Linked DNA regions of Daphnia pulex. The protein of the gene in region 1 interacts with the protein of each later gene in a pairwise test. Links are inferred from orthologs where the notes say so. Each region holds a gene or a part of one and is shown in the gene's direction. Other genes may lie near its edges.

Region 1 (15,355 bases):
ATATTTGGTTTTACTCCTCCAATTTCTAAATCCATCAACAAATTTGAGAATGAGTCTTCTTCTTTTTCACTGACAGTTGTTGTCCCAGTATAAATAAACTCCAGCATCTTCTGAACATGCCGACTACTAAATTTTGAAATAAAAGAATTAGTTCAACTTATGCTCTCAGCTATATATTTTTTTCAAACTATATAAAATACCTGTATTCTGTGAATAAAATTACACAGTCATCCACAACTTCGTCTTTCAACATAAAATAAAAAAATTGGCTAGCAGCAGCCAAAACACTGCGGTGGGCTTTGAATTGACAGCTATCAGACAACAGAAGTATGTCAGCAGCCGTTCCATTATCGTAGATACTCTTTAGATAATCAGTCAAGGCTGAGTTGCGGCTGTCACGTTCTAGTAAAAATTCCATTTATAAGTTATTAATTGCTTGTGTAGAAAGTAGTTTGAATCGGTTTGAATTTTTTGTTTCGTCGTTGATGAAAATTTATTTTGTCTGCTTTCTCATCGAACTATACAGCGATGCCAGAATGAAAAATGCCCGAACACCAAAAACCTTGCCAAATGAGAAAAAGTTAATATCTCAAAATCGAATACAAAAAAAAAAATTATAAAGTCAAAGATCTGAGGTAAAACGATTGAAAAGTCTCTGGAGATCACTCTGGACTAGATCTTCATCCGGTCCGGTGGAGTGTTTATTTTTTTTCGCATGAAAAGAATCAAAAATAGGCTTGGGTTTCCCCCATTTGTAAGCGCTATGTGAGCTACAAAAAATTCGCTAGTTCGCTGACTTTTTTTATGTAGTAACAAAATTACATAATTAAACAAAATTCTACTTATTAATGCAAACATTCTATATTATCTCGTATTTTTATAATTTTGATTACTAAATAAATAAACCCATTTTAGCACCAACGAAGTCGTTTAACCAAAGCGGTCAAAGAGTGCATCAGAGGGAATACGCCGATATGGCTGGCTCTGGACTGGACTGTAACCGTAGTATTTGACAATGGTCAACTCATCGTGGGCCTATTGCAGACTTTACGTTAAGTGAAGTAACCTAAGGGTACATGACTCCGGTGAAAGTCTGTGCCACAAATATAAAGCTGAAAATTAAATTCTAATGGGCCGGCAACACCTCTAAGATGTCACACTCGTAGCCGTACCACACAGAAATAATTAATTCGATTTTAGTGTAAATGTTTCCCTCAGTAGCAGAGGAGAGCAAAATTCCTTAATTTCTAGAAAATTATATAAATTACGTATGTTCTGTTCGCCGGGAAAAGAGTGAAAAACACAAGTACACAACACTTTTGAAGTTCCACAGAAGGGTTCTGACGCCGAAACACGTAGAATTATGGCTTAATTTTTCAAAGAGAAAATAGATGCAATCAATGTAAAATGTAAAACGTTAAACGTATTTGAAAATTGAAAAGCAAGCGAGTCTGAAAAAAAATTCACCTTTCCCTTCGATCTGGCAACGTAGCATTGGGGAAGAAGGGCTGGGTAAATCAGTAAGTGTAGGAGTTAGGACGACATTGGTCCAGTTAGGTTTTTTTGGACTTTTACACGATGGCGGCCGCCGATGCAACAACCGATGATTCGTTGTATCCTATAGCTGTTTTGATTGATGAGTTACGGAATGAAGATGTCCAGGTAATCTTTTAATGTTCTCGTTAATATAATGTGATTCTAATGGAAAGACTTCCATAAATGTCGTTTCGAGTTTCATTGGCGGTATATGTACACTGCTGCAGTACCCTATTACAATAGGGGTATTCATGTAAATTGTAAACCATCAGACAGCCTATTGCAACAGTCATAGCAGTGTTGTGTCAAATGTATTTTTGTTTAAAATTAAAAACTTTCTTCTGATCTACATTTGATTCAATGCTTCTTAGGATAATGAAATAATATTAATTTCATATTATTGTTGACACTTACTTAATATGTTTGTTATGTAATTTTCTGTTAATGACATTTCTTTACTTCTAGCTTCGACTCAACTCCATCAAGAAGTTATCAACTATTGCTTTGGCATTGGGCATTGAAAGAACTCGCAGCGAGTTGATACCTTTCCTCACAGATACAATCTATGATGAAGATGAAGTGCTATTGGCATTAGCGGAACAACTGGGAGCTCTTACTCCATTAGTTGGCGGTCCAGAGTTTGTTCATTGTCTTCTTGTAAGTAATATTTGCCAAACTATTTTTTTACATATTGAAAATTCATACATACTTGAGCTTTATTTTCCATCTTACAAACATTTTACTTCCTGAAATATTAGAAGACCTAATTTACTACAAATTTTATTTCAGCCTCCATTGGAATCTTTGGCCACTGTTGAAGAAACAGTTGTTCGCGATAAAGCTGTTGAGTCACTTCGTCTCATATCAGAACAGCATAGTCCTTCAGACCTGGAAACATACTTTGTTCCATTATTGAGAAGACTTGCATCTGGGGATTGGTTCACGTCACGTACATCGGCATGCGGACTTTTCAGCGTTGCGTATTCCAAAGTGTCGCATAATGTAAAAGGAGAACTAAGGGCAACGTTTCGTATGCTTTGTCAAGACGATACTCCTATGGTGCGTCGTGCTGCAGCGTCTAAACTTGGAGAGTTTGCTCGCGTTGTAGAAGTCGAATGGTTAAAGGCCGATTTGATTCCCATGTTCGTCCTCTTGGCGCAAGATGAGCAGGTTTTTAACACGTTTTTCCCTCTATATTTCTATCCGTTAAATTTCGATTCCTTTTCATATTTTCTTAATAAATAATTTTTTTGTAGGATTCCGTGAGACTTTTGGCAGTTGAAGCTTGCGTGTCTATGGCCGAGCTCCTTCAGCAAGAGGATGTCGAACAGCTTGTGATGCCAACTCTTAGACAGTGTGCCGAAGACAAATCATGGCGTGTACGTTATATGGTGGCTGATAAGTTCACCGAATTACAAAAAGCTGTTGGCCCGGAAATTTCCAAACAAGATTTGGTGTCCGCATTCCAAGTAGGGTGATTGTAGTCTTTAAAAAACATATTCGGAAATATCAAAGTTTATTATTCTAAAATCTAAAGGCGCTGCTGAAAGATCCCGAAGCCGAGGTAAGAGCCGCAGCTGCTCATAAGGTGCGGGATTTCTGCCAAGCCCTAGATCCCGCTTTCCGAGAAAATCTTATCATGAACCAGATTTTGCCGTGTGTCAAAGAGTTAGTCTCAGATGCTAATCAACATGTCAAATCGGCCCTGGCTGCTGTTATAATGGGTCTTAGTCCTATTTTAGGCAAAGACAACACGATTGAGCATCTTTTACCGTTGTTCTTGACCCAACTGAAAGGTACTCTTTCAATTCGATTTACGTGAAGATAATCAAATTCATCTTTGGTTTTGTTTAAATTTTCAGATGAATGTCCTGAAGTTCGATTAAATATTATCTCGAATCTGGATTGCGTTAATAGTGTTATTGGGATTCAGCAGTTATCGCAGTCGCTTCTTCCGGCGATCGTTGAATTAGCCGAAGATTCCAAAGTAAGTGCTCGTCTAACTTTCTCATCTTAGATCTAATAATTTTATTTTATTTTTCATTCATCCGAAACAGTGGAGAGTACGTTTGGCCATCATCGAGTATATGCCTTTGTTGGCCGGTCAACTGGGAGTAGAATTCTTCGACGAGAAATTGAACACGCTTTGTATGGCTTGGTTAGTTGATCATGTTTATGCTATCCGTGAAGCTGCCACGAACAACTTGAAGAAACTAGTAGAGAAGTTTGGTGTTGAATGGGCCCAGAGTACCGTAATTCCGAAAGTATTGGCAATGGCACGAGATCAGAATTATCTTCATCGTATGACGTGTTTATTTTGCATCAACGTGAGAAAAAGAAATAACCTTCAATTTTATTATTATATATATTAACGTATTCTTTTTCTAGGTTTTGTCGGAAGCATGTGGACCAGATGTGACTGGCAAAGTACTGCTTCCAACGGTTATTTCTATGGCGAATGATAACGTAGCGAATGTTCGTTTTAACGTCGCAAAGTCATTGCAGAAATTAACACCTCGAATGGAAGCACAGGCAACCCATAGTGCTATTAAACCCGTGCTCGATAAATTAATCACAGATACCGATGTCGATGTGAAATATTTTGCATCCGAAGCTCTTGCAGGTAAAATTCGTTTATAGTTTGTTGCATCAGCGAATAGTACAAACAATTGTTTTTCTGTCTTTAGTTCTCTCCGGCTGAAAATCAACAAAACATCCATCGGTAAAGATCTATAGATGTGACCTGCTGTCCCTCTAATTTCTCCTCTCTTAATACTTCTATTTCATCCCCCGAATTTCTACTATTGGCAAGTCCCTATTCTTTATGTAGTACCACTATCATCATTGACTTTATCACTGAACCCTTCGTTTCATGGGATATCGATTAGGACAGACACACACTCGCTACTCACCTTCAGCGACATACTTGTTTCGCATTTTTTTCGAAGTCCTTATCCCAACCGGATGTTTAATGTAGCTGTTCAAATGTAACCCCTTCCCCTCCATCATTTAAATTGAAAATACAAAGCAACGTTTTTTGTTCATATTCGATACGTATGAGTAGAATTGAATTAATTTTAATCGTAGTTTATTAGAATTAGAAATACAACCGTAAGAAAATTTGTGTAACTTCTTAAGATACAAAGTTTATAGGAGAAAAATTTTATACAACTCTTACAGAAACCAAAATGAATATGGAATTAAATTATTATTGCCTGGAATCTGATGTTGGATAAATGGATTGATTTGAAACTGACAACACTGATCATGAAAGGAAGATTCAGGTAGGATAGGAGTTTTAGAAATAACCATACAATCAATAAAATCTTTCAAAGCAATTTCAGGATCCCTATATCGCATTTGTGGAGCATTCTTTTCTGCTAGATTGTGAAGCCTTGTTTCATCTTGATCCACAAGCTGTTCCACATTAAATGAAATAGGCTGAAGGCGAGAAAAAATTTGCCTGGATGGATTCAAAACTGTTGAAACCTATACAACATCCAAAGATTATAGGTTTTCTTTAGAAAATAAATCATAAAAAAGAATACCTTTGAGTTTAATAATTTCTGCATTTTTTTATCCTTTTCAACTTTGTGGCTGAGTAAATTCCGAGTTTCAATCTCCAAATTCTTCAGTGTTTCAAGGTTTTTCATAAGGACAACAGAACTTTGAAATATCGGTTGGTTTAATTTTTGCTGGTGTGTTGCAGTGGTTGAATAGCTGCATAATGTTGAATTGTATGTTTTAGGTATCCCAACAGCTTGGATTCTTTGAAGTATGTCCACATGAGATGTTTCATTTTCAATTACCACAATAGGAGAGTTTATTTTACTTTTGGCGTTTGAAGTGTTGAGAATTTCAACGTGAGAACGTTTCTTGACAGACGAGAACCTTTTTTTGGTGTCAGATGAAAATAATTTGTTTTTACCGACTTTGTCTAGTGGAACTGTTCCGTTTGCACCTTTTTTCAACACTTTTACGGTCCCAGAGTTTCTTAGCTGTTGAGAAGAATCCTTCGATGGACGAGACCGCTCCATCTCACAATAGTGATCTTATAGATGAATATGTAGTTTCCAAAATAGAAATCCAATAAACAACAACCACTAGCAGAGTTTCATAACTATATAACTGCTCTGCAGATATTTAAAATTGTTAATGAAAAATTACAACGAACACTACGTTGTCAGACGGTTAATTTATATCATATTACTTGTGAAATATAAATGAATGAGAACTTCAAAGAAAGGTGGAAAAAATCGCAACGAAAAATATCATAAAAGGATTTTTTCTGGCTTACCACTCTTTTTATCTCTGGATCACAAATTTAAAACGGATTTTTCGACCATTTGGCAACGGACAATTACAAGAACATCGTCTGTTTCTACTTCAAAAGGCCCGATGGCGATCTTTGCTTTCATTTCTAGGGATCTGTTAGCGCCTCTACTGTGCTCAGGTTAAATAATAAAACCTTCCGAAATATAAATCAAGAGAATATAATAAATTTGGATTCCATAAACCTTACACATTCAAGAGAAATAGGAAATATCTATAAAAAGGAGTAAGCAACAAAACGGTAGCCGAATTTTGCCAAATATTTGCAATGTACAAGAGATGGCGCTCTATAAATCTCAGAGCATTAAAAAGCAACTGGAGGCATTTACACTAGATTATCTAAGTTACAGACACACGATTCACGAAGATCTGGTGACCTCGTAAAAGCTCCATATTTGCGGATCACGGTTTCGGTCACTTTACCCAGCTTTATTAACTTTCGTCATTGCTAGTTAAACTGCATCTCTTGTTGACATGGCTCTGTTTCGCACATTATCTTTGCGGTTAAGCTCCCCTCCTCAGGTAAAATATAATTGGTATAAGTGAAAAAATCCTCGACGTCTTACTTCTGTTCGAAACAAATTTCCGCCTTTCTAGGATCCATTTCTTTAAATATTGCAAAAATTCTTTCCATGTCTTTTTTTAATTAGCACTTTTGTTTCAAATGGTGCCTCTAATATATATAGTTGTATAAATATTGGTATTCTCATTATGTAACACATTTTATAATTATCCTGCAGGGCTCTATTTCTACCATTGTAAGAGCATTCTCTGATCATACTGATCTGAAGGATGTTCTTAACAATAAAATCCCTTATGAACAGGAACGTGTCAAGAAGTTCCGTAAAGAACATGGCAATGTAAAAATTGGTGAAATTACAGTGGATATGGTGGGTTACACATATGAACAAATCACATGATGAATCATAAATAACCCACAAAAAAAACTAGGCATATGGAGGTATGCGCAGCATGAAAGGTTTGGTCACAGAAACATCTGTCCTAGATCCTGAAGAGGGAATCCGCTTCAGGGGATTATCTATTCCAGAATGCCAACGTATGCTACCTAAAGCTAAAGGCGGGGAAGAACCTCTACCTGAAGGTTTATTCTGGCTTTTGATTACTGGAGATGTTCCAAATGAAGCCCAAGTAATATCTGATGGATATATCACTTGTATGTTTTACCTAACTATTTTTCTTAGGTGAAAAGCTTGTCTAAAGAATGGGCAAGCCGTGCTGATCTTCCATCTCATGTTGTGACCATGCTCAATAATTTCCCAGCCAACCTTCATCCAATGTCACAGTTCAGTGCAGCAATCACTGCCCTGAACAGTGAATCCAAATTTGCCAAAGCTTACTCTGAGGGACTTCACAAATCTAAATATTGGGAGGTAGGTGACCATTAATATTACATGTTTTTAAACACACGATATCAATCGATTGATGTGACCGTTATAGTACGTCTACGAAGATTCTATGGATTTGATTGCCAAACTTCCTACTGTCGCTGCCACAATCTATCGTAATTTATATCGCGATGGATCTTCGATTGGAGCGATCGATACCAAAAAAGATTGGTCAGCTAATTTCGCATCCATGTTAGGATACACCGACCCTCAGTTTACCGAACTGTTGCGACTTTATCTAACTATTCACAGGTAATGCCGTCTTGGCATTATAATTAAGTCAAGTTTAATTGGCGTTACTATTTTTTAAATGTTTTTGTAGTGATCACGAAGGAGGAAACGTTTCGGCACATACAGTCCATCTGATAGGATCTGCTTTATCAGATCCATACTTGTCATTTGCTGGCGGTATGAATGGATTAGCAGGTATTCTAATTTAGCACGGTTTATATGTAGTGAGGTCCAAATTAAAATGTTGTTGTTGTTTACCAGGACCTCTTCACGGACTGGCCAATCAAGAAGTTTTGGTGTTCTTAAACAAAATTACAGCTGCTTTGGGAGATGGGTGGACTAAAGAGGGTTTGGTCCAGCTCATTAAACAGCAGCTTGCTTCTGGACAAGTAGTACCTGGGTATGGCCATGCTGTGTTGCGCAAAACTGACCCGCGTTACACTTGTCAGCGTGAATTTGCTCTCAAGCATTTGCCCGACGACAAGATGTTCAAGCTTGTTGCCCAGCTATACGAAATTGTCCCAGATATCCTTCTGCAAACAGGAAAGGTCAAGAATCCTTGGCCAAACGTTGACGCCCATTCTGGTGTTTTGCTGCAGCATTACGGCATGTCTGAAATGAGCTATTACACCGTACTATTCGGTGTATCTCGAGCACTCGGTGTGCTGGCATCTTTGGTTTGGGATCGTGCGTTGGGTCTCCCACTCGAGCGACCCAAATCCATGTCAACTGATGGACTTATGAAATTAGTTAAATCCCTCCAATCCCAAGCCAATGCGGCAAAAGGAGCGTAATAATTTTGACGAACTGATAGTAATATACAACCTTACTACATGTTAAAGAATCAAACTTTTACTTTGTTTTCGTGTTGACTGTAAGTCGAATCCGTGTTAGATTATTCCTGAGTGTGCGACACCATCTCCTGGAATTTTTTCAATGCAAACCTAAATAGAATTTCTTAATAACGGCGACTTAACTGGAACAAGGGATTGGTACAAACACGTTTCGATGGTGTCACCTGTCATAGTAGTAATGAGAAGTTGATCGTCTGTAAAACCCTAAAGTAATAGTTGTAATACCCACAATAATAAACGTTTTCACTGGATGTAACTACACCGAAGAATTTTTGATTGATTTTGTGTTTCAAAATTTTATTTCAACTTCAGCGCTACTTTTTCGTCTTCTCCAACTGCTACAAGCCCAACACCCACCCACCCACCTCCCAAAAAGAAAAAGCTTGCATTAAGTTAATGAGAACATGTTTTCCCGGCAACTTCAAGATATTATTTGTTACCTGTATTGACATCACCGGTTTTGGGCGTTATGCACAAATATGGCTGGTTTGGAAATGCTGTATCTAAAAAGTTGTTTCTTTTCAGTTTTTTTCTTTCTTTTAATAAAGCTATTGCGCAATGACGAAATATTCTAAATTTAATTCTATTTTTTATGTTATTTTCTAAACAAAAGAAAATATTTTTTTCTCGTTTTTTTTCTGTAGCTACCTACGTTCATTCTTTTCATTGGTTCATATTGATGAAAGTGATTGAAAAATTGTAAATGGACGGTTACCACTATCAAGTTCTTAAATATTCCACTAGGGCGCTGCCGATTTCTAGTACTAGGCTACTAGCTGTATGGCTGCCCCAGTTAAGGATTTCTTCTGTTCTCAGCTCACTTCGTAACAGATTTTATGGTTTAGGTTGATCGATAGTCGATTGAATTTCTCTTCGAAGGATAAATTCTTAACGCAACAGTTTCAATAAAGTGCTCAGATAACTTATTATATCAGGTTAACTGCGTTTATTTCGGTCGAATAGGGTTAATCAACAATTAATGTCTACACCAGCCAGAAGACGATTAATGAGGGACTTCAAGAGGTTAATATACTTATTTTAAACTAAGCTCCGTTAAAAAAAGAAGTGTATTCTTTACGCTTATTTTGTTTTTATCTCATGTACATCCTCTAGATTGCAAGAAGATCCACCTGCTGGGGTAAGTGGAGCTCCAACGGACAACAATATTATGATATGGAATGCAGTTATATTTGGGTATGTTGAATGCTAAATGAATTTCTTTACTTAATTATTAACAAATAATGTTGGTTTTATTTCCTTTTTTTGCACATTGAATATTAATTATTTTTTTTTTAATATTTTCAGCCCCCATGACACTCCATTTGAAGATGGAACGTTTAAGTTGACCATTGAGTTCACTGAAGAATACCCTAATAAGCCCCCTACAGTGAGATTTGTGTCAAAAATGTTTCATCCCAATGTTTATGCTGATGGAGGAATCTGCCTCGACATCCTTCAAAATCGATGGAGTCCCACCTATGATGTCTCTGCAATTCTCACCTCTATCCAGGTAAAATATGATTCATACATCTAAATACTATGTGTATTTATGTTTTGATTGATTATTATTGTTTGATGATTGATTGAATTCTTTATCAATTTTTTTAGTCACTTCTTAGTGATCCCAATCCAAATAGCCCAGCCAACTCGATGGCAGCACAGCTATACAAGGAGAATCGACGCGAATACGAAAAACGAGTAAAGGCTTGTGTGGAACAATCTTGGATGGATTAGCTTGTTTGAAACACCAACCTTTGCTTTGCTTTTTGCCTCAACTTTCCTATATTCCGTTCTTCAAATTTCCCCAACCATCAATCAGTTAAGCCCAGGTCTTATGGACCTCACTACTAAGTGTTTTTTTTTTTCTTTCTCAATTTCCTTGTTGTATATTGCTGTTTCCCATTGGTGATTGACACCTCACCGTTATGTTTCTGCTTCAGAAAAAGCGAAACCTGAACTTTTAAAAGCAGGTTGGAATGTAGTTCAGCAAGAATCAATTTTTTATTCACGAGAAATACAAAAGACAAATTGAAATCCGATAAGAAGTTCCCAACTAGCAAAGACATCTTTAAAACTATCGTAAAAAGAATTACAATGATTGCTAAATAAATTTTCGTGCCCATCGTCCTTCACGTGATAGCTTAGTATAATTGCGAAATTCTTTACACTTGATTTACCTGTATTAAAAAAACCTTTTGCTAGAAATTTAGCTGTATCAGTTCGTTAATTTTACGTGGCCAAGTAATAATTAATCGCTAGAAATAGTGCATTAGTTATTATGTATTCATGTTCATAAAACAAATGGGCAAATTAAAGTACAAACAAGATTGTAGTATTGTAGTAATCATTTTGAAAAGGCTATAAGTTTGGATGTGCAGTTACTGCAGTAATCGATGGATTCTCCTTCGTCACTATGGAACTTTGCACAACCGATTTTCTGCATGGACAAACCGTGTAGGCCTGTATACCGTTTGACGTTTGTGTCGTTTGAATGAAATTGCATCCCTAGGAATGAACCCTTTATACAAAGAGAGGCTTGCGTTACGAAGCTTAAGTACTATTCGACAATCGGCCTACTAGCCAGTAATAGTAAACTTTCCCACGGATGGTTCAGGTGTGAAAACGAACGCTGGTGAATGCATGAGCCACATAGATAGATTAGGTATTCAGGAGATCAGTTTGCATAATTCCCTTTTTCATGATCGGTACTTGATTTCTAATTTTCGTTTCATGAAATGTAGTATAGCTATATTTTAAATCCTAGATAGAAAAGTTCGGCTAGTCAACTGCGATACTTTTAGATGGATGAACTCATAGCTTGAGAACCTCACCGCTTGGAGAAGAAGCTACGCCTGGTACTTCCCGTTCCGTCTATTGCCGACTTCCCGTGGCCAAAAACCTCTGACGATAAAATAAATAAATAAAATCAAAATACGAAAATTCCATAAATGTTGTTTAATATGAATCATGCTGTTAACAGTGATTCACAGTGATTTAAATTGTGTTTAGTACATAAAGAATGGATACAAAAATTGAAAAACATATTCTAGAGCATCCTGTTTCCTGTTATATTTACATTGGTTGCACAGTATCAAAATAACTTTGACTGAGTAAATGTCTGAAAATCATCCGTGTACACTATAAAGCTGTCCTAAATCCACTTTTAAAACACGACTGTAGAAAATATTTAGTTCTGTGTAATTCGTAAATCAAAGACATGTATTCGTCCTTTTACGGTGCTGACTGGATTTCCGTTCATTCGCAATAAATTGGTACGGAGATAAACATCAAATAAACTTGAAATAACAAAAGCCGGAGAATAAATTAAACTTCCCTCTCGCTTATTGCTTTCGTATGTGAAAGCATCCCTTCTGAGGTTGTGTGCATAGAAAACATACGAAAAGGTAAATCCAGCGTGTTTCCTAAAGAGCTATTTTTGGTTTGGGTTTATTTTCAGACTAGCGCGCTAGTAAGAAACTCGCTAGTATTCGAACTATGTGGCGCGCCTTGCAGGATCCACCGCAAAATATATTCTTTACCACCCTTTCGCCTCCTAAAAACGGCGACATATAACATACCAGAACCAATAGCAGCAACCTACATCAGCTTTTCGCTCGATCCACACACATTTTGACTACCCACTATTTAGGGTGTGTTTTTAAACCCGCCTTCGGTTCAACGAATACATTATACAGGAATAACCTAAAATGAGAAAAGTCCGTTTTTTTTTACAACGGTCAGTTTAGACCACGTATTTTTTTGCAGAAAATTAAATTCTAGAATCTTATCGCCATAGGGTTACTATATGGCCTTCATTAATATTGCAGACAATTTCACGTTTCTGTCTTATTCGATGTCACACAGTTTGGAAATAATGGCGCAGACAGCATCTGTTTTATATTGAAAGTTAATTTGAATGTAGAATATTGAGATTTCGTTTTATTTGAATTTTTCAACTCTCAAGTTGGCAGTTTTATTACGTATTTGATTACTTATTTAACGACATTTGGAATCATTCATGTCTGTTATTAGTTACCGGAATGTATGACTCAATTTTCATTTGGAAAAAAATAATAATACAATTTTATATTTTCTTCTTTAATTAAATTTAAATGAGCTGATTTGTCCAATTGCATTAGGATCCCTTGAAAAAAAAACACATTCTGAAAAAAGGTCCAATAGATATAGTGTCAAAAATGAAACAGGAAAATGTTAGTTGCTTATTTTCCTCCTCAAAATGGATTCTATTTTCTCCTTCTGTATGAAACTGGGCTTTGCAAAAAGTAGCTCGACTTTATCCAAACTATTTTAATCCAACTTGCTCGTTAAAGGTATAAAACTTGAGAAAACACGGAATAAAAACAAAACGAAAAGGAGAGGGAGACGACATGAAGAGAGACAAGAAATTTTTATTTTATTTTATTTTTTTTTTATTTTTTTTTATTCTAGCCAGTTCGGCAGATTGTTGCTGTAGTTCTCCCGCTTGCTGGGGATTTTTTCTTCACAAGTCCAACCGGTACTGTCGCGCCGTCGACCAGTCTATTTTCAGGACAGACTGGCTGACGGTTGCTGCTGCTAATACTTGCTCTTGCCCTTCTGGGATCCAAGTGATTGCTCTCCTCCACAGTAAGTCGTCTCCTCTGCAGTTGGCTAGTAGGTGTTGCAGCCAAGAGAGCTAGTTACATAAGCGCCTTGATTTTTTGAAATCACGCTTGATTCACTTTTCGCTTGATAAACGGGCATCATCTCTCGATCCATCGGTAGTCATTTCTTGTGTCACACGCCCAGTGCTTTCCATTCTCAACAGTTTGAAGTGAGCGTAAAGATACACGGTAAGTTTCTTTCACATCTTCTACTCTCCTCCTACGTCATCCTATCTTCCTGTGGGTTTTACAAGAGCGAACAACTTTCGAGAAAACAACAACATCCGTTGAGGGGGGGGGGGGGCAAGTTTGTTGACAAGAAATTAAGGATCAGCTCGTACTGAATCCGGTCATCTTCGAGGTTTTCACGAGCTCATATATAATATAGGACGCTAGACTCGTCTATATATTCCCGAAAATGTGTGAAATCAATTCCAGCGCAGTGCAACGATTTCACATTTTTATTTTCGACGTCGTCCACATCGCAGAGTCTAGCAGCATATGTAGACCTTCTTTCTTTTTGGCTACACCCGGCATTACAAAGAAAAAGTCAGTTGTAGAGTATGGGGGCTACTACCTTGAGCTTGGTTGAGCAAGCTAGGTTAATTTTGGGACGCTGTTCAGGAAATCCTGGCTGGCTCGTCTAGGTTCCTTGTTACCCATATAGTACCTCTACCTAGGCTCGTTTTCAAAGCGATCCAGCATCAGCTAGCTTTCGTTTCATGACCTCAAGTAAAAATAAGGTTAATGAACAGTGTATTGTGCACATTATTTTTAAGCTCGAAAATGATTTCTCTTCGATTTTCGCTTTTTATTTTTGTTTTTTTAGAAGTAAAAGGGAATTGGTATTGGTACTCGTGCACATCAATTGATGGCATATAGATAATGCGCTATCAAAATGCAAATCCAATCACAAAATGTATTTTGGTCTGTCTGGGACAAAATTAAGAACAACCAGAGAAAAGTTAATTAAAACCTTTTTTTCTGAACTATTTACCAACATCACGTCTGGGATTATTAAGTGGCAAAGCATAAATAAATGCTGAGTCACCATTTAAGAAAACTCTCAACAAACAATCAACATTCTTTTTTTTCAAACAACTAAACCTTAAAATATGTGTATTGCTCCAATAAGTTCTATTTAATTCGTATTCATATTACATAATCAATGAAACATTTGAATGTATAAAATTCATCTAATTTAATGCGTGTCATGTTTCTATACCAAACTTGTTGTTTTATTTGTCAGGATCCGGCGGCGATCGCATTTAGTACAGACGGGAGCGGAATCTCTAGATGTCCTAATCACTGGGAAGTTTCGTTCATCAGTCACAGAGAATCCCATTCCCGCCCTTCCCTTACTGGAAGGGTGGCACGCCTATTCAGGCGGCAAGTGAGCCACCATGGGTGTGAATGAAGAGTTGGCCCCGAGTTTCACTCAGAAACCGACACTTCGCCAAGAAGATGATGGCAACCGATTGGTATTCGAATGTCAATTGGTGGCCAATCCTTTGCCGGCCATCACTTGGTTTCGCGGCGAAACCAAGCTGGTCGAAAATGATCGCACGACGATGAAAATGACAGAACTGACGCCCAGCAAGTACTTGGTCGTCCTCGAACTCGATGATGTCATTGAAACAGATGCCGGCTCGTATAAAGTTAGTGCCCATAACAAATTAGGCGAAGTGGCAGCCTCAATCAACCTGAATTTCAGCCGTGAGTTCAAATTTCTTCAATCATCTTGATCATCTTTCATTTTCTTCTAATGCCATTTTATGATTTATCTCTCCGCACACTTAACCTTTATTTTCGTATTTTTTTGTTTCGTTTTCTTTTTGGTGGAATACAGCAACGGACGAACCCAAAGAAAAGTGAGTCAAAATTTCGAAATTTCAATCCAATTATTTGTAGACCTTAAATTACATAACAGCAAAACTCAAAACCTTATCGAATATTATTAAAACCGTGTAATTGGTTAAGACTGTTGATTTCTAAACAAATTTGAAATTAGCCATAAACTAGGAATACATCTGCACGTCATTATACGTAGAAAAAAAGTAATAACAGGAAGATATACCATAACCGATATTGATTGCCTGCAATAGTAACGAATGTAAAAAGTTGGCATATTTTCTTAAAAGACTTATTAGCTATATCGGTCTCTTCAAAAGGACTTGTATATAATTCTAAAAGAGAAAAAAGAAAAAAAAAATGTTTGAGTTGCTAAGATGTAAGAGAAATGGTGACTGAGTCGAAAAAGAGAAACGCCTCATCTCCGGTCGTGCGGACGGAGGTATGGAGAATGTCGGACTTGTGTGTGCATGTGGGGGGAAATGTGGCTCATGACTATAGC
Region 2 (16,410 bases), on another chromosome or scaffold:
AGAATCGAAAACTTGTTTCGTTAACTTATGTTTGGTTTTTGCGAATATCTCTAGTGGTTGACGTGGCCCAAACTGGTCGGACTCTCCGATGAAAGTGCTGGTGGTTACATCATCGCCTATATTTCTTACGTCCTTTGGGCATTGTCTTTTGCAGGACTCGCCGCCGTTCTCGTCCGTATGTTTGCTCCATATGCTTCAGGCGGTGCAATTCCTGAGGTTAGTGATTCAAGTACAAATTTGTAGTCAAATCATTACTATTTAGTCGATTGTACTGTACAGATAAAAACGATCTTGAGTGGCTTTATTATTCGTGGTTTTTTGGGGAAATGGACCTTGCTTATCAAATCGATCGGCATTATGCTATCGGTAGCAGCCGGCCTTAGTGTCGGTAAAGAAGGACCTATGGTCCATATCACCATTTGCATAGGTAAATGTCGTTTGTTCTTTAAGCTAACAATCGTTGTCCTCATTTCAAACGTCCGAATATAGGCAACATTCTTTCCTACCTCTTCCCGAAATACGGTCGAAATGAAGCCAAGAAGCGAGAAATCTTGTCGGCAGCCGCAGCGTCGGGCGTATCCGTCGCTTTCGGTGCACCAATTGGAGGCGTGCTTTTCAGTTTGGAAGAAGTATAAATTATTTTGATTTATTTATTCGAATATCTTCTCACCTTGAATTCAAAATATTTTGTGTTCTCCATCTAGGTCAGCTACTATTTTCCCATGAAAACTCTGTGGCGCTCATTTTTTTGCGCTCTGATTGCCGCTTTCGTAGTCCGCTCTATTGATCCTTACGGCAATGAACATTCCGTCCTGTTTTACGTGGAATACAGCAAACCGTGGATCTTTTTCGAGCTGCTTCCATTCATTCTTCTCGGCGCTATCGGAGTGCGTCACGACCCGTCACGTTGGGTTTATCATTTGAAGAAATATTTGTAATTGAAAAAATTTGTTTCGTACTTTTTCCAGGGTCTTATTGGAACCTTGTTCATCCGAGCAAACATTTGGTGGTCAAGATATCGTAAACAGTCACGCATCGGACAGTACCCGGTTACAGAAGTCATCGTCCTGACACTTATTAATGCGGTCATCTCCTACCCCAATCCGTACACCCGTATGAGTTCCACGAGGCTGATTTACCTCCTTTTCAGTCAATGCGGAGTAGCCAACAACGATTATCTATGGTAAGACTTCAAAGTAGTTTGTATCTTATTTGCGGCTTGGTAACCCTATTCGGAAAAAAAAACAACAACCCTGTTTTATAATAGTGATTACAATCGGAATTACACCAACGTTAACGGAGCTATTGAGAGCGCAGCTGCCGGAACAGGCGTCTACACTGCCCTGGCTCTTCTTTTCCTGGCGTTAGTCTTCAAGATTGTCATGACCATTTTCACGATTGGCATTAAAGTACCCGCCGGATTGTACATTCCGTCGCTCTGTATGGGGGCGATCGTGGGACGTATCGTTGGCATAGCAATGGAGCAGTGGGCCTAGTAAGCGAAATTTGATGACTGTTACTGTATGAAGAGCACACTAATGATTATTTGACTTGTGCCCACATGATTGCAGCCATTATCCACAGTTTTGGGCCTTCAGGGGTGAATGTTCTACTGGAGATGATTGTATAACTCCCGGGTTGTATGCGATGGTGGGAGCGGCTGCTGTTCTTGGTGGAGTTACACGAATGACTGGTATTTTTTATTTACTTCTTAAAATTTATTTCCTCTTTGTGTTTTGAATTCCTGGGTGCGGTCAAACACATTCAAATTTTTTATTGTTTTCTTTCTTTCTTTGATTTTTAGTGGCTTTGGTGGTTATTATGTTTGAACTCACCGGAGGCGTTAGGTATATCGTCCCGCTGATGGCGGCAGCTATGGCTAGCAAATGGGTGGGCGATGCTTTCGGCAAGGATGGCATTTATGATGCACACATAGCTTTAAATGGATATCCATTTCTGGACAACAAAGAAGAGTTTGATTGTACCACCATCGCAGCCGACGTGATGCAGCCTCGGTATTACACACACACACACGTCAATCACTTTTTTTCTTTAATGTACTCACTGATTTGTTTCTTTGGCGGATATTCAATATTCTATAGAGGGAACGCTCCACTGACGGTCCTCACTCAAGATTCTATGACACTGAGCGAAGTGGAAAGCATTTTAGAAAATTCCAAACACAATGCCTTTCCAGTCGTTATTTCTCGGGAGTCCCACTTTCTGGTCGGCTGTGTGTTGAGACGAGATCTGATGTTAGCCATAGGTAAATTGATTCTGACCTTTTGATCTTTGGCCTTTTAAGTCTGACGAGGAAAAAAAAAATTGAAATTGGGTAATTATTTTAGGAAGTGTGCGCCGCAAACAAGACGACATCAGCGATGATTCGCTTGTGATCTTCAACGGTTTTGTGCAAGGAAACCCCTCGGCTTCATCGCCCGTAAAATTGCGACGCATTTTGGATCTCGCTCCCATCACCGTTACGGATCATACGCCGATGGAGACAGTCATTGATATGTTCAGGAAATTGGGACTGAGACATGTTCTAGTAACTCACAATGGGTACGGTTTTTTTTTTTCCCGGTTTAGATTGCTGTCAATATTCTTCATTCAGTTTATTAAATGAATTATTTTACTTTTCAGGCGACTATTGGGAATCATTACAAAGAAGGATGTCATGCTTCACATGTCACATCACCAGAGGACTATACCTTCCGTTTTCCATTAAAAATTCAGGTTCATCTTTCGTTTAGTTTTGAATGTCTGCTAAAAAATTATATTTTCACTGTGCATGAAATTTCCGTCGATCGTCATCTACGTGCAATGTTTGTTTGTTGTTTTTTTCTTTGCCGGCCATCCACTCACATTGTGCAAATTCTACAAAAAGGAAAGGTTTCTAGTCGACCTTGTTTACATCAACTGCTTAAATTCAATGGAAAATTATCTTTTTTTACAATTGGTATAGCGGGGCCGCTTTTCTTGAGCTTTTTCGGCTAAATGAAACTTGCGCGTTTTCTTCGTCGATGTTACGAGGATGTTTGAAATAAAAAATATATATATTATTCAGAAAAATACAGAGTTCTCGGATCGTTCTACCGCTTTTGCCGAAGCCGTGCGTCTAGAGATTGTGTTTTGTTCTTAGAAGAGAGAAAACAACAGGTAGTTTTCATCCGGCGACTAACCCTTTTTCTTCTGTTTGTTTTCTTAGTTGTTTTGTTACTCCTTTGAAGTTGTTTTTCCTGGGCATTAACTTGTCAGTTAAAAGTTGCCGCTTGCCGCGCCAGATGTCGGGGATAAAAGCTCATTCTTATTATTACTGTTCCGTGGCGGCCAGTTTTTCCCCTCGTTTTTTAACTGTAGGTAAACCTTTACCCGGTTTGCATGATGTGTTATTATTGCGCCTGACGGGTTTCATTGTGAAAAAAAAGGCTTTATTTAATATCCAATTGAGCGGATGCGACTGCGTCATGCAAGAATTCTGCTGCTCTCCGTCAGCGCAGAGTCCACTTCCTCCGCAAAAGTTGGTTAATCAAGCATTATAGAATTTTTTGATCTTACGAGTCACGAAATAATTTTTTTTTCTCTTCTTATTGTCCAGTTTAGTTCCTGTCTAATTGTTAATCCTTCAATCCGTTTCGGTTACACTGAAGGGTGTGTAATTACACGCCAATTGAAGACATTCTAGCTCTCCCACGACAGTGTTAAGAATGTTTGAAGAGAGTTCATTAGATGAATGATTAGCTGTGTGTTTATTCAGCTGGGCCCCTGTTTAGTATGCAGTCGGCAGCTATAACCTCTTAGGAGGTGAAAATGTCAGTGAACTTGAGCTACCGGTTATTAGCCATCCGCGAGTTTAATTGAAACATTTCCCGCAATCGTGATAAAAGATTCTCATTTGCGCTGACAATCGTAGCCAACTCAGACAACTTGAATAGCCAAAATGGGAGCAAGGTCGGAATTTGTTTTCCTGTATTCACATATATTCGAAAAGAGACGAAGATGATGACCAGTAAGAAATGAGAATACAGCCGAAAGACGAGCTCCATACTCCCGACACAACAACAACAACACAGCAGTCATCCAGCAGCATAAAAAAATGTATACATATAAATATAAATAAAATTGGTATACTGTAGGAAATGAAGGGCTTTGGTCTATCTATTGCTTTGGGGGGTTCCACACCACAGGTAGAGAGACTCTGGCGTTCGGTACATTGACTCGAGCCTTTGTACGCAAACCTGTACCGGTACCTGTCCTAGCCTCCTGTCTCCTACCCCCTCAAAAGTGGGAAGAAAAAAGAGATAGAAGACCCTAACTCTAAAGTCTCCTACACTCGGCGTCAGTCTAATTTTCACCGTCGGCCATTGCCTGACGTGTTCAAGATCAATCGGAATTTTTATTTCTACGAAAATTGGACCCAAATTAGCTAAACACACCACGTACATTTCGTAAGTGTTTGAAGAATTCAGTTCAAGTTATTTAATTACAAGCCAGTTAGAAGTGGATTGGTGAATCGAAAGGGAGTGTTGAATTTAGATTTTCAAGGGTGTACTTTTGTATACCACAGGTAGGAGCTTCGAATGGTGTGCTGAGGCCCGGCGTTGGCCAGTCAGTTCGTAAGCCAGGTGGAGGACTAACACCAAGACTGGCTGGCATTTTTGGTATCAAAAAGCTGGAAAAGTGCACAAAACAAGAGTCTCACCAAGAAAAACGAAATCGCATGACTCGGTGCCGCCACGTAGTCAAGTGACACTTCAAAACTTGGTGGATCGAGGAGTTAATTTTGTTTTTGTTATTCTTCACTAGTTTGAGGTGAAGTTTATTTTTTTGTCGAGTGATAATCAGTGCAAATACGAAATTTTTTAAAAACGGCTCAGCACCCGAATAAAACAAAAAAGCTGAAGTGACATTGTTGCCACTCGAGCATATCGGGCCTTCCTTTCGACTGGATTTCTTTTTTTTTTAACCCATAGGAATTTGTTTTTATACGGTGACTTGCTGCTGGCCAGAGATCAGGTGAGCATATCGGCCTCATTGTTCCTCTTCTTCTTTCTGTTCAGAAAAAGGAAATCCATCAATTCCATCGTGCGCTTTTTTCCGATGGAAGACGCATACCTGGGCCCGTTAGAGTAATTATACTTTCCTCGGGGGGTGGATAGTATAATCTGGCTGTCCATGGAACAGATGGGAACGCACGTATTCATTAAGGCCATTTCAAGTGCAGTTGAGATAACAATATAAATTAGTTGCCGTGTGACGAAACAGCAATCATTTATTTATTGAGTTTCAAAGATTTTGTGTTCGAGTTATCCAGGGCAGGCTGCTGGATAATTCCGTTGTGTGCGTAGGCTTGTAGACGAAAAAGAGTCCATCAAACTTTCTGGTTATTCCTCTTCTTCTTCTATATACTGGTCTTTTTTCCTTTTTTCTTACCTGTTGGCTTTTGGATGGCAGGTAGGGTAAAAGAAAAAGAAACCCTCGAGCCAGCCTCTTTTTCTTTTTTGCTATTGCTCTCTAGCCAACATTCAAGGCCGCCTAGGTCTTGGGAAAAGAAAAAAAGGTAAAATACAAGAAATTAGACGAAGAGGAAGATAACTACCACTGTCTGGAATAAGCAGAGGAAGACCGACAGACACAAAAAGTTAATGTTTCCCCCCGCGAATCAGTTTTTTTTAGTTTTGATTGCTTCCATCAATTGAACGAAATCACGGAGTCAAGCGGATTTTGTTTTTTTGTTAGGTCACGATGTCATGCAACTTTGAAATTGAAACAAAAGAAACTAAACATTTAACCACGAATCGATTCTATTTTTTCCATATTAAGAAAAGTCAAAACCAGTCGGATCAGCCGGCTCAACAACCGTAGATTTTTCTTGGTTTTCGTGATTTCTCTCACACAGCCGGCGTTCGCTACGCGGTTCATTCAGTAGGCCCACACCGAAACGGAAGCGTCAGCTTGACCACGCTTTCGTTTTTTTCCAGACATATTATTTTTACTACCTGGGCTATTCTCTCACAGCGCGCAGTAAAATGTATTGAAGCGGAAAAGAATCCTGACTAGAAAAAATTCAAATCAAGAATCTTCCATTTTTCTTCTTCTGGGTTCTCTCTGATTACCTCATAATTAAATGTCGTCATCCACCTTCGCTTCCAAGAATTCGTAACACTGCCGTGAATCTGTTCGAAATCAAATGTCGGTGCGATCTAGTTCGATTTTTCATGTGTCAATGCGATTGCCATACAGGATTGTCGGGTCATTTCCTTGTTATTCTGGTTTTTTTCTACGATGACTCGCCAACATGTTTGTGTGTCTTTGCAGTGGACGTATAAGGTAATATGTGGACAACTAGACATAGAATTTTGTTTTATTCTAAGGGAATAACTGGGTGAGATCGGTCGTAACGGACTTGGTCGAGGTCTAGAATCAGATAAAAAAAAAACTATTCCCGTTTTCTTTTTTCGTGTATTCTTGTTTTGCTTTTTTTCTTCTTCTCCTTCATTTTTCTTCTTTTTTAAATTCATTTATTTCCACGGAGAGTTGTCTGCTGCATTGATGTTAACGGATTGCTCGTCAGAAAAAAGCCACAAGAGTCACAAGCCTCACCTCAAGTTCTTGTCCACTATTAAACACGAAAATCACACGTGGCGTCGTTTCTTTTTTGTTAAAAATAGAAGAAATAACCAAAAAGCCGAGAAATTTGAGAAGGAAATAATTTTATTGACATTTAATTAAAAAAGATAATCGATTAAAGCCAAGGGGGGGTCGCTCGGTCACGTGAGTTTAACGATCAAGTGACGATGAGCTCATAAAAGCTCGTGAGTGTACACCCGGGAAAACAACTAACCAGATTTCTAAAAAAGAAAGAAAAAATGTGAATAAGGAAAGAAGGAAAACACGCACTAAAATTGTGACGAAATGAAAGAAAAGAAAGAAACCTAACTGGACAGAAACCTTTGTAATGTGTTACTCCCCTCCAGTATTGGACATGAATATAAAGCACCCGGAGAACTCCATTTTCCACCTTGAGCTCTGTGGCTGTCAATTGGTTTTTTGTCAACCTGATAATAATAACAAACGTCCTCATTTCCATGCATAATAATAACGTACCAAAATTATTGATTTATTGCGTATTTTCTGTCGTTCTTGAGCTGCTGCTGACCGTTGAGAGTTTTTGATGGTGTTATTATTTTTTGTGGTATAGTTTTTTCTTTCTTTCTTTTTCGGACTGACAGGCGGCGGAAAATAATTGCGTGCTGTGCCGCAGTGGCGGGCAGCGGTGAATAACGGCCCGCGCGGACGACCGACGACGACGGCGGCCTTGTGTGTGGACTTTTGGACGAATTGCCACGAATCTCCAGGACTTACCAAAAAATATAAGAAAATGGTCATCGTTTCTCGGGTAAGTCATTCATTTTTTAAAAAAATTCCTAGTCATCTTGTTGTTACTTGGTTCATGGAGGAAAGAAAGAAAAGGCAACGTATGTCAGTCATGGAAATGTTGAATAATGGGCATGGCCGCTATTGAAATTGACATTTCTCCGCCGTGGGTGTTTGTGTAAATGTATTTACTTCATCACGCGGCTGCTGAGCACACGGCTGTTGTTGGCTGCCTGTTGGTCAATGACCCTCTCTCTCCCGGTGATGGTGTACCTGCGCTCTCTTCTCCACTGAGAGATGAACAGCAAAAAAAGCCAACGCCCGACACACGTAACATACATTGGTCGACCGCAGCCAGACATTCAGTAAAATTAAACAGCCGATGAAACTCAACAACGCGCCTTTCATATATCCGAAACGGAAGTTTTATTTCCGGTTTTGAATGGCGGGCGAGCGGACGTCCGGTTTTTAAAATATCGGCCGACTGATGATTCCTAATAAAGCGAAAGGGGGTTAGACATTTTTGTTTGGGTTGGAAAACATTTTTAGGAGAGAGAAAAAACAAAAACAAATCCAACTGTGAAACCCAGAACGAAACAACAAAGACAGACAGAAAAAAGTGACGCAATTGGGTCGCGCAGTGATGATTTTTTTTCTTCTTTTTCCGGTACACACATCTGCTGTTATGTGTTTAGGTTACACCACAAGAGTCACACAAGAGAAGTGAGACCTCCACCACCAAGATGTTGTTGCCTTTTCTTTGGTTATATTGTTCTTCCAGGGCCATATTGTGTAATAGCGCATGGACTAGAAGAAGAAGAAGAAGAAGAAGAAGAGACACCCACAAAAGTCAGTTGACGGAAGAAGGTTCAAAAACATGTACTGAAGGAGATAACGGGTTCGGCAACAGTCTGGGTATTTTCTCTTGGATGGTGCGACCGCAGTGTATAGTATATAGGAGGTCGTCATCGTCATTTACCACCGTGAAAAAGAATCGGAAAACAATATCGCAGCTAATGCTATACACACACACACACACGAGATGAGGGAGTGCGTGTGTGTGTCTCTACACACATGTGTCGTCTACCGCCAATGAACGTTTAACGATTAAGGACAACGTATTCTGAAAGATGCAACGACGCGGAACTAAAAGTCGAGAAAACTGAAAAAAAAGAAAAGAACCGGAGGTAAAACTGCTGGCTGAAGAACACAGAGAGGGAATCTGAATCTATTCAGCGAGTATAGTATATAGCTGTAACTTAATGTTTTATATATATTTTTCCCCTAGCTGCGACTCTCAGTGTGGCTGCCAACTCATTCAAAGGCGGTTGTTGGAATCTCTTTTCGTTGCAAGGCGTACGTGCTTTAGACTCTTGCGGCCATCCACCTGCTGTTCTTTTCTTATTATTATTACGTATACAGTATACCTTTTGGGCTCTGCGAGTGTTTCCAAATATCTACTAAGAAAAAGAAAAAGAAGTGGACACTGAGAAAACAGCTGACTGTTCAGGGCGGTAGCCAAGCAATAAGTGGAAAAATAAAAGAGAATGTAATCAAACAAGGAATGTTTTTTTCGTTGGGGGGATTTTTTCCCCAATCCTTGTGATACGCAATGTGTGTTTGGACTAGACGTCAGTTAATGAATGCCAATTGATCACGTGAACTTTGAGTCATTTTCATTTTTTTCCTTATCATTTGGGAAGTAGAGATAAGACGGTGTGCTGGCCTCTCCCTGCTCGCCATTATCACATCAAACAGTTTGTTCGCATCGAGTTTGAAGGTTTGACGTCGGTTGAATTCTCAAGTTTCTGATTATTCGGGAGAGTGAAAGTTTTGATTTTGGAAATTAAGGGCATACGTTGATTGTAGTTCAATCAAGTCACGATCGTCCATGGTCTCTCTGTGTTGTCGCCATTATTTGTCAAGTCGAGATTAACGTTGGCGGCTGGAAGAAAAGATGTCGGAAGAAGGCGATGGCTCGTCGACTCAGATTCTTACCTACGTGAGTTCCTAATTTTCCCTAGAACTGGTGGGCACTTGTTGCCGCGTCCAACTTTCCAAACTGCCCAGTGCCCATGTGTTTTGTTGTTATTTCGAGGTCAGCACGGTTTTCCCCTTGCCAAACAGAAGGTGGACATACGGGCCAATGATCATGTCAATGTCCCATTCTTATTGCACGACAATCCTCCGCTCTGCTTCGTCCACAATCCCGTTACAACTTCATTTTTGTCTGTTTTTTTTCTTTGTGAACCAAGTCCACCCCCCGTGGAGATTCGTTCCAATTTCGATGGAAAAATATAACAAAATGTTGTGACACTTGCTCGTTTAATATGATAATCAATTTGGAAATTAATTTCATTTCTATTAGGGCGACTATGTCTGGATCGAGCCCAGCACCAAACGAGAATTCGATGTGGCGATCGGGGCCCGGGTCGTTTCGGCCGAGGGCAAACGGATCCAGGTCGTCGACGACGACGGCAAAGTAAGTCTTATGTCACCTTTTTGTCTTTTATTTTTCCCCATCAGCCGTCAGCACGAAATGGTGAGGCAACAGCACCCCACCTTTTGTTTCAAACCGTTTCGAAATGCGTTGGTGACCGCAAGTCTCGATCTAAGCCACACAGATAAGAGCAATTTAGAACGTCACAACGTCAAATTGGTTTTCCCCTCCTCCTTCTTGTGTATTTATTTGCTTAAAAGTGTCATTCACAATTTTGTGTCACATTTTTTAAATTGAATTGCGCAGGAACAATGGCTGACGCCGGAACGACGCATCAAAGCCATGCATCCGACGTCCATTCAGGGCGTCCAGGATATGATTTCACTGGGTGATTTGCACGAGGCTGGTATCTTGCGCAATCTGCACATTCGCTACAATGAAAGCATCATATACGTACGTCATAGACTCATTTCATTGATTTATTTTTATGAGATGATCAATTGTTGATTTGATTTTTTGGTAACAGACTTACACCGGTTCGATTCTGGTGGCCGTCAATCCCTACCAGATTCTGCCCATTTACACGGCCGAGCAAATTAAAATGTACAGGGAGCGGAAAATCGGCGAATTGCCTCCGCACATTTTCGCCATCGGCGATAATTGCTACTCTCAAATGAAACGCTTTCGACAGGATCAGTGCATCGTTATCAGGTGAGACTTGTACATTGTTTAATAGATTACATAAAATTACGGTCGAAATTCCATTTCGTCTTGGTTGTTTCTTGATGTTCTCAATTCTCAGCGCACACCTGGGTTACCCGAGATTAATCATTTATTTCTTTTCTTATTGCGTTATCAGCGGTGAGTCTGGCGCTGGTAAAACTGAAAGTACCAAATTGATTTTGCAATACCTGGCGGCCATTAGCGGGAAACATTCGTGGATCGAGCAGCAAATCCTTGAAGCTAATCCCATCTTGGAAGGTATTTATTAAAATAATTCCCCTTAAAGTATGAAATGACGTCATTTGATTTGGTTAATTAGCCTTCGGAAACGCCAAAACTGTGCGGAATGACAACTCGTCTCGTTTCGGCAAGTACATCGACATCAGCTTCAACAAACACGGCACAATCGAAGGAGCCAATATCGAGCAGTACCTGCTGGAGAAATCGCGCATTGTGGCCCAGAATCCTGGCGAGAGGAACTACCACATCTTTTATTGCATGCTGGCCGGCATGACCAAAGAAGACAAGCAGAAATTCGATTTGCAGGATGCCAGCCAATACAAATACCTCACTGGGGTATATACAAGTTCAATTTATTCCCATTGTATTTGTTATATAGTGGAATGCGTTATTCAAAATTGGGTTTTTTAACATGTTACAGGGCAACAGCACGACGTGCCAGGGAAGGAACGACGCCAATGAATTTGCCGAAATCCGATCGGCCATGAAAGTCCTGCTCTTTACTGAGCCGGAAATTTCCGACATTCTTCGAGTTCTGGCCGCTCTTTTGCACCTGGGAAACGTTTCCTTCAAAGGAGTTGTCATCAGTAAGAAGTTCATTTAACATTTTGTTCACGACTCGGTAAACAAAATATTAACGTTGGAAACATTCTCGCCATTCTTCCCTTTGTCCAGGCAATATGGACGCTAGTGAAATTCCAGATCCTTCCAACGCTATTCGCGTCTCCAAGTTGCTGGGTGTTGATCCTCGAGAGATGGTTGACGCCCTTACCACTAAAACCATTTTCGCCCAGGGAGATTCAGTGGTCAGTTAATATTGAAATTGAATTCCCATTTGACAGAGATAATTGAATTGTATTTGCAGGTATCGAGGTTATCCAAAGTGCAAGCTGTAGATGTTCGAGATGCTTTTGCTAAAGGTATTTACGGGCGACTCTTCATCTGGATTGTTACCAAGTTGAACTGTGCCATCCGCAAATCCGACGAAATGGACACGAGCTCCATCGGAGTCCTGGACATTTTTGGTTTCGAAAATTTCAGCATCAACAGGTATTAAAGAATTGACTGGACACTAGTTGAAATGGCGGAATCTAATTTGTGTTTTTGGATCGAATAAAGTTTCGAACAGTTTTGCATCAACTACGCCAACGAGAATCTGCAGCAATTCTTCGTCCGACACATTTTCAAGTTGGAACAAGAGGAATACAATCAGGAGAATATCAGCTGGCAGCACATCGAATTCGTCGACAATCAAGACTCGCTTGATTTAATCGCAATTAAACAGATGAACATCATGGCACTTATCGATGAAGAATCCAAATTCCCAAAGGTAGTATTACTCGGTTAATTTCAAATAATTGTCTTTCGTTTAATAATTGGGTTTATATATAATTCGTGTTTTTTTTTCCAGGGCACGGACCAGACCATGTTGGCCAAGTTGAACAAGACTCACGGCAGCAACAGGAACTACGTGAAACCTCGTTCCGATCTGCAGGCCTCGTTCGGTTTCAATCATTTCGCCGGAGTCGTGTTTTACGACGCCAGAGGATTTCTGGACAAGAATCGAGATTCGTTCAGCGCCGATCTGATGCAGTTGGTCCACGTGACGTCCAACAAGTTTCTGCGAACGCTTTTCGCCGAAGACATTTCCATGGGCTCGGAGACCCGCAAAAAGGCGCCCACTCTGTCGGCCCAGTTCAAAAAATCGCTCGACTCGCTCATGCGGACTCTCAGCGCTTGTCAGCCATTTTTCGTGCGTTGTATTAAACCCAACGAGCTGAAACAATCGATGGTACAATAAAAAAAAATTTTTTTCATTAAAACAATTAATTCAATTGACACATATTAAAAATAACATTCCGGTAAATTCAGGTTTTCGATCGTGAATTATGCTGTCGTCAACTGCGCTACTCGGGAATGATGGAAACGATTCGTATCCGGCGGGCCGGCTATCCTATTCGCCACACATTCCGCGAATTTGTCGAACGTTACCGATTCCTCATTTCTGGATGCCCACCACCTCACAGAGTAACGATTTGAAATAATGAAATAATTTTAATTATCATTGCAGATGTTTTTAAAATGAATCGATTTGTAATTGCAGGTGGACTGTAGGCAAGCGACGGCCAGGATCTGTTCGGCCACACTGGGAAAGACGGACTACCAACTGGGTCAGACCAAAGTTTTTCTCAAGGATGCCCAGGATCTGTTCCTGGAACAGGAGCGCGATCGAGTCCTAACCAAGAAATTGGTCATCATCCAGCGTTGCATCCGCGGATGGATTCATAGACGTCGCTACGTTCGCCTCAGGAGCGCCGCTGTAGTCATTCAACGCCAGTGGAGACGTCAGGCCCAACGCAAGCGCTACCTGGAAATGCGTAGCGGATTCCTGCGGCTGCAGGCTCTCATCCGCTCTCGAATCCTGTCTCATCGCTTCCAGCACTTGCGCGGCCACATTGTCGGCCTGCAGGCCCGTTGCCGCGGCTATTTGATCCGTCGCCAGTTCCGCATGAAGACTCGGGCGGTCGTGGTCATCCAGAAACACGTCCGGCGGATGATCGCTCAACGCAACTACAAGAAAATGAAATACGAACAACGACATCGACTGGAAGCTCTCCGCTTGCGCGACCTGGAAGAGCGGGAGCTCAAGAAAGCCGGAAACAAACGCTACAAGGAAATTGCTGACCAACGTTACCGGGTATGACATCAATTTGATTTCCAACCTATAGTCCAGTTTATTTAATTGTTAATTATTTATTTGAACAGGAGAGGCTGATGGATATGGAACGTCAACAACGTGAAACGGAACGAGTCAATCGTCAACAGCTGGAAAGCAACCGCGAGAAAATGAAGGAGGCGGCCATCAAAGAGCAAGAGCCATCGAATATCGACAATTACATCGATGATCTTTTCAAATTGCCGCAAGATTCCGGCAACGAAAGGGAGAAGGAGACGGAAGGCAAGCCGCAATGGGTAAATTTATTATATTTTCTATTGATTCAGTTTTCTGGTATTTAATTTTCGAATTTGGCGCACAGAATATTCCCATCAAGAAGGGCGACGTGGACGAGCTGATGCTGGCCATTCCGCCCAGTACCGGACTGGGCCCAACGGAAGATTTGTCGGAATATCGTTTCCAGAAATTCGCCGCCACTTTCTTCCAGAGTAACGCCACTCACCAGTATTCCAGGAAACCGCTCAAGTCTTCCCTGCTCTCTCTGCAAACGCAGGGCGATCAACTGGTAAAATGAAAAATCAGTCAAAATTTAAAAATGTGTCTAATTTTTTGTTTCAACCTTCCGTGCTGTTGAATGGTGTAGGCGGCATTGGCTTTGTGGGTGACTATTCTCCGCTTCATGGGCGACATGCCCGAGCCGAAATATCACTCGACCGAGCGAGACAACACTTCAGTCATGACTCGCGTCTCGGCTACGCTCGGCCGCAATTTCATCCGCACCAAGGATTTCCAAGACGCACAAATTATGAGCGCCGAATCGGTAAGACTACGGGTAGATTTTGAGCTTGCGAAACGACGACAACCATTTTTAAATGGCGTGTTTCTTTTATTATTACGCCCATTAACAGGAAGCCTATCCTAAAGGCACTTCGAAACAGCGTTCCATTCGCCACAAATTGGTTTCTTTGACGCTCAAACGGAAGAACAAACTCGGAGACGACGTGCGGCGCAAGTTGCAGGAAGAAGATTACACGACGGAATCGTACACTTCGTGGCTGGATTCACGACCCACATCCAACTTGGAGAAACTTCATTTTATTATCGGTCACGGCATTCTGCGCGCCGAGTTGAGGTAATTTCCTTAATCCATTTGGTTTTCTTTGGTTGAGAATCAATTTCATTTTCGTGACGTGTACAATAGGGATGAAATCTACTGTCAGATTTGCAAACAGCTGACCAACAATCCTTCGAAATCGAGTCACGCACGCGGATGGATCCTCTTGTCGCTCTGCGTCGGCTGTTTCGCTCCGTCCGACAAGTTTATCAAATACCTGCGCGCTTTCATTCGCGACGGACCGCCCGGCTATGCACCTTACTGCGAAGAGCGTCTCGCCCGCACCTTCAACAACGGCACCCGCAACCAACCGCCTAGTTGGTTAGAGCTCCAGGTAATCAATAATTAAACCTTTTATCAATTTGAACATCACCGATAATAGTATCTGTCATTTCCAGGCCACCAAATCGAAGAAACCGCTGATGTTGCCCATCACGTTCATGGACGGAAACACCAAGACTTTGCTGGCCGATTCGGCAACAACAGCCCGCGAATTGTGCGACCAACTGGCCGAAAAGATCGAGCTCAAGGATCAATTTGGATTTTCCCTGTACATCGCCCTGTTCGACAAAGTGTCGTCGCTGGGCAGCGGCGGCGATCACGTCATGGACGCCATTTCCCAGTGCGAGCAGTACGCCAAGGAGCAAGGAGCCCAGGAGCGCAATGCTCCTTGGCGGCTCTTTTTCCGCAAGGAGATTTTCGCTCCTTGGCACGACCCGACCGAAGACACGACGGCCACCAATTTGATTTACCAGCAGGTGGTCCGCGGCGTCAAATTCGGCGAGTACCGCTGCGACAAGGAGGAAGACCTGGCCATGATTGCTGCCCAGCAGTACTTTATCGAATACGGAAGCGACATTAGCATTGATCGATTGCTCACCTTGTTGCCCAACTACATTCCCGATTACTGTCTCTCAACCGGAGACAAGGCCATTGACCGATGGGCCCAGCTAACTGTCGCCGCTTTGAAGAAGGTAATGTTTTAAGGTCCCTAACTTTCCCTTAATGTTACTTAATTCTCTAATGGCTGTTCTTTTTATGGTTATTGACAGAGCTATTACATTAAAGAGCGAGTTCCTTCTAGTCGGGTCAAGGAGGACATTGTCAATTATTCCAAGCTCAAATGGCCGCTACTCTTTTCTCGCTTTTACGAGGCTTTCCGCTCTTCAGGTACATGTCAATTCATTTCGTTTCTCGCCCCCCCTGGCTCCATTATTGTAAACTCACAGTTCACCTTTTTGAACCCCCCGTTTACACGTCTTGTTTATAGGTCCTAACCTGCCGAAGAACGACGTGATTATAGCCGTCAATTGGACGGGAGTGTACGTCGTCGACGATCAAGAGCAAGTGCTGCTTGAACTTTCATTCCCTGAAATTACGTCGATTTCTTCTCAAAAGTATGTCGTCGTCGTTATTAACATTTGCACCGCGTCATGGCGAATATCTTTTGATATCGTTTGTCTTTTCCTTTTTGCGTGTGTGCAGAACGAGCAAAGCTTTCAGCCAGACTTTCACTCTGAGCACGGTGCGAGCGGAAGAGTTCACTTTCCAGAGTCCCAACGCTGAAGACATTCGCGATTTGGTTCAATTTTTCCTCGAGGGATTGAAGAAACGATCCATGTACGCCGTGGCATTGCAAGATTACAAAGGTGAGATCATTTAGAAAGTCATCGACTCGTTCATTCGACATTTCGTTCGCCTCATTTGAGAGAGAAACCGCACGCTGGCAATTATAACTTTTTATTTGTTATTAATAATCAACAGACGAAGGTGCGACATACTTGCAACTGAGCAAAGGCGATCTGGTGGTCCTGGACCCGAATAGCCGCGGAGAGGCCG

The links.
Region 2: the proteins of ubiquitin-conjugating enzyme E2-17 kDa (region 1) and myosin-VIIa-like interact in a two-hybrid assay, tested with the Caenorhabditis elegans proteins (2 studies listed by BioGRID). The link is inferred for Daphnia pulex from reciprocal best matches to the Caenorhabditis elegans genes ubc-1 and hum-6.

Annotation. Positions count from the first base shown.
Region 1 is NC_060018.1:6,447,787-6,463,141, reverse strand, and holds ubiquitin-conjugating enzyme E2-17 kDa, read left to right. Parts: upstream 1-9,102; 5' UTR 9,103-9,338; coding exon 9,339-9,382; intron 9,383-9,472; coding exon 9,473-9,553; intron 9,554-9,664; coding exon 9,665-9,869; intron 9,870-9,967; coding exon 9,968-10,093; 3' UTR 10,094-10,398; downstream 10,399-15,355. Other genes in the region: zinc finger protein 98-like, read right to left, coding at 1-126, 201-418; serine/threonine-protein phosphatase 2A 65 kDa regulatory subunit A alpha isoform-like, read left to right, coding at 1,579-1,662, 2,002-2,193, 2,326-2,706, 2,793-3,005, 3,074-3,332, 3,399-3,523, 3,594-3,863, 3,925-4,159 and 1 more; uncharacterized protein LOC124189052, read right to left, coding at 4,711-5,025, 5,085-5,573; probable citrate synthase 2, mitochondrial, read left to right, coding at 6,343-6,390, 6,609-6,758, 6,820-7,017, 7,071-7,259, 7,327-7,526, 7,597-7,700, 7,767-8,299; twitchin-like, read left to right, coding at 14,406-14,718, 14,852-14,873. UniProt on the Caenorhabditis elegans protein: Catalyzes the covalent attachment of ubiquitin to other proteins.
Region 2 is NC_060022.1:1,958,881-1,975,290, forward strand, and holds the start of myosin-VIIa-like, read left to right. Parts: upstream 1-9,123; 5' UTR 9,124-9,334; coding exon 9,335-9,379; intron 9,380-9,745; coding exon 9,746-9,859; intron 9,860-10,123; coding exon 10,124-10,270; intron 10,271-10,343; coding exon 10,344-10,528; intron 10,529-10,676; coding exon 10,677-10,798; intron 10,799-10,859; coding exon 10,860-11,116; intron 11,117-11,201; coding exon 11,202-11,367; intron 11,368-11,455; coding exon 11,456-11,586; intron 11,587-11,645; coding exon 11,646-11,830; intron 11,831-11,899; coding exon 11,900-12,110; intron 12,111-12,191; coding exon 12,192-12,572; intron 12,573-12,652; coding exon 12,653-12,808; intron 12,809-12,884; coding exon 12,885-13,478; intron 13,479-13,546; coding exon 13,547-13,753; intron 13,754-13,818; coding exon 13,819-14,022; intron 14,023-14,100; coding exon 14,101-14,277; intron 14,278-14,365; coding exon 14,366-14,589; intron 14,590-14,658; coding exon 14,659-14,905; intron 14,906-14,969; coding exon 14,970-15,545; intron 15,546-15,623; and 7 more. Other genes in the region: H(+)/Cl(-) exchange transporter 4-like, read left to right, coding at 55-216, 280-427, 490-629, 705-887, 969-1,183, 1,268-1,495, 1,572-1,693, 1,805-2,015 and 3 more. UniProt on the Caenorhabditis elegans protein: Myosins are actin-based motor molecules with ATPase activity. Unconventional myosins serve in intracellular movements. Their highly divergent tails are presumed to bind to membranous compartments, which would be moved relative to actin filaments.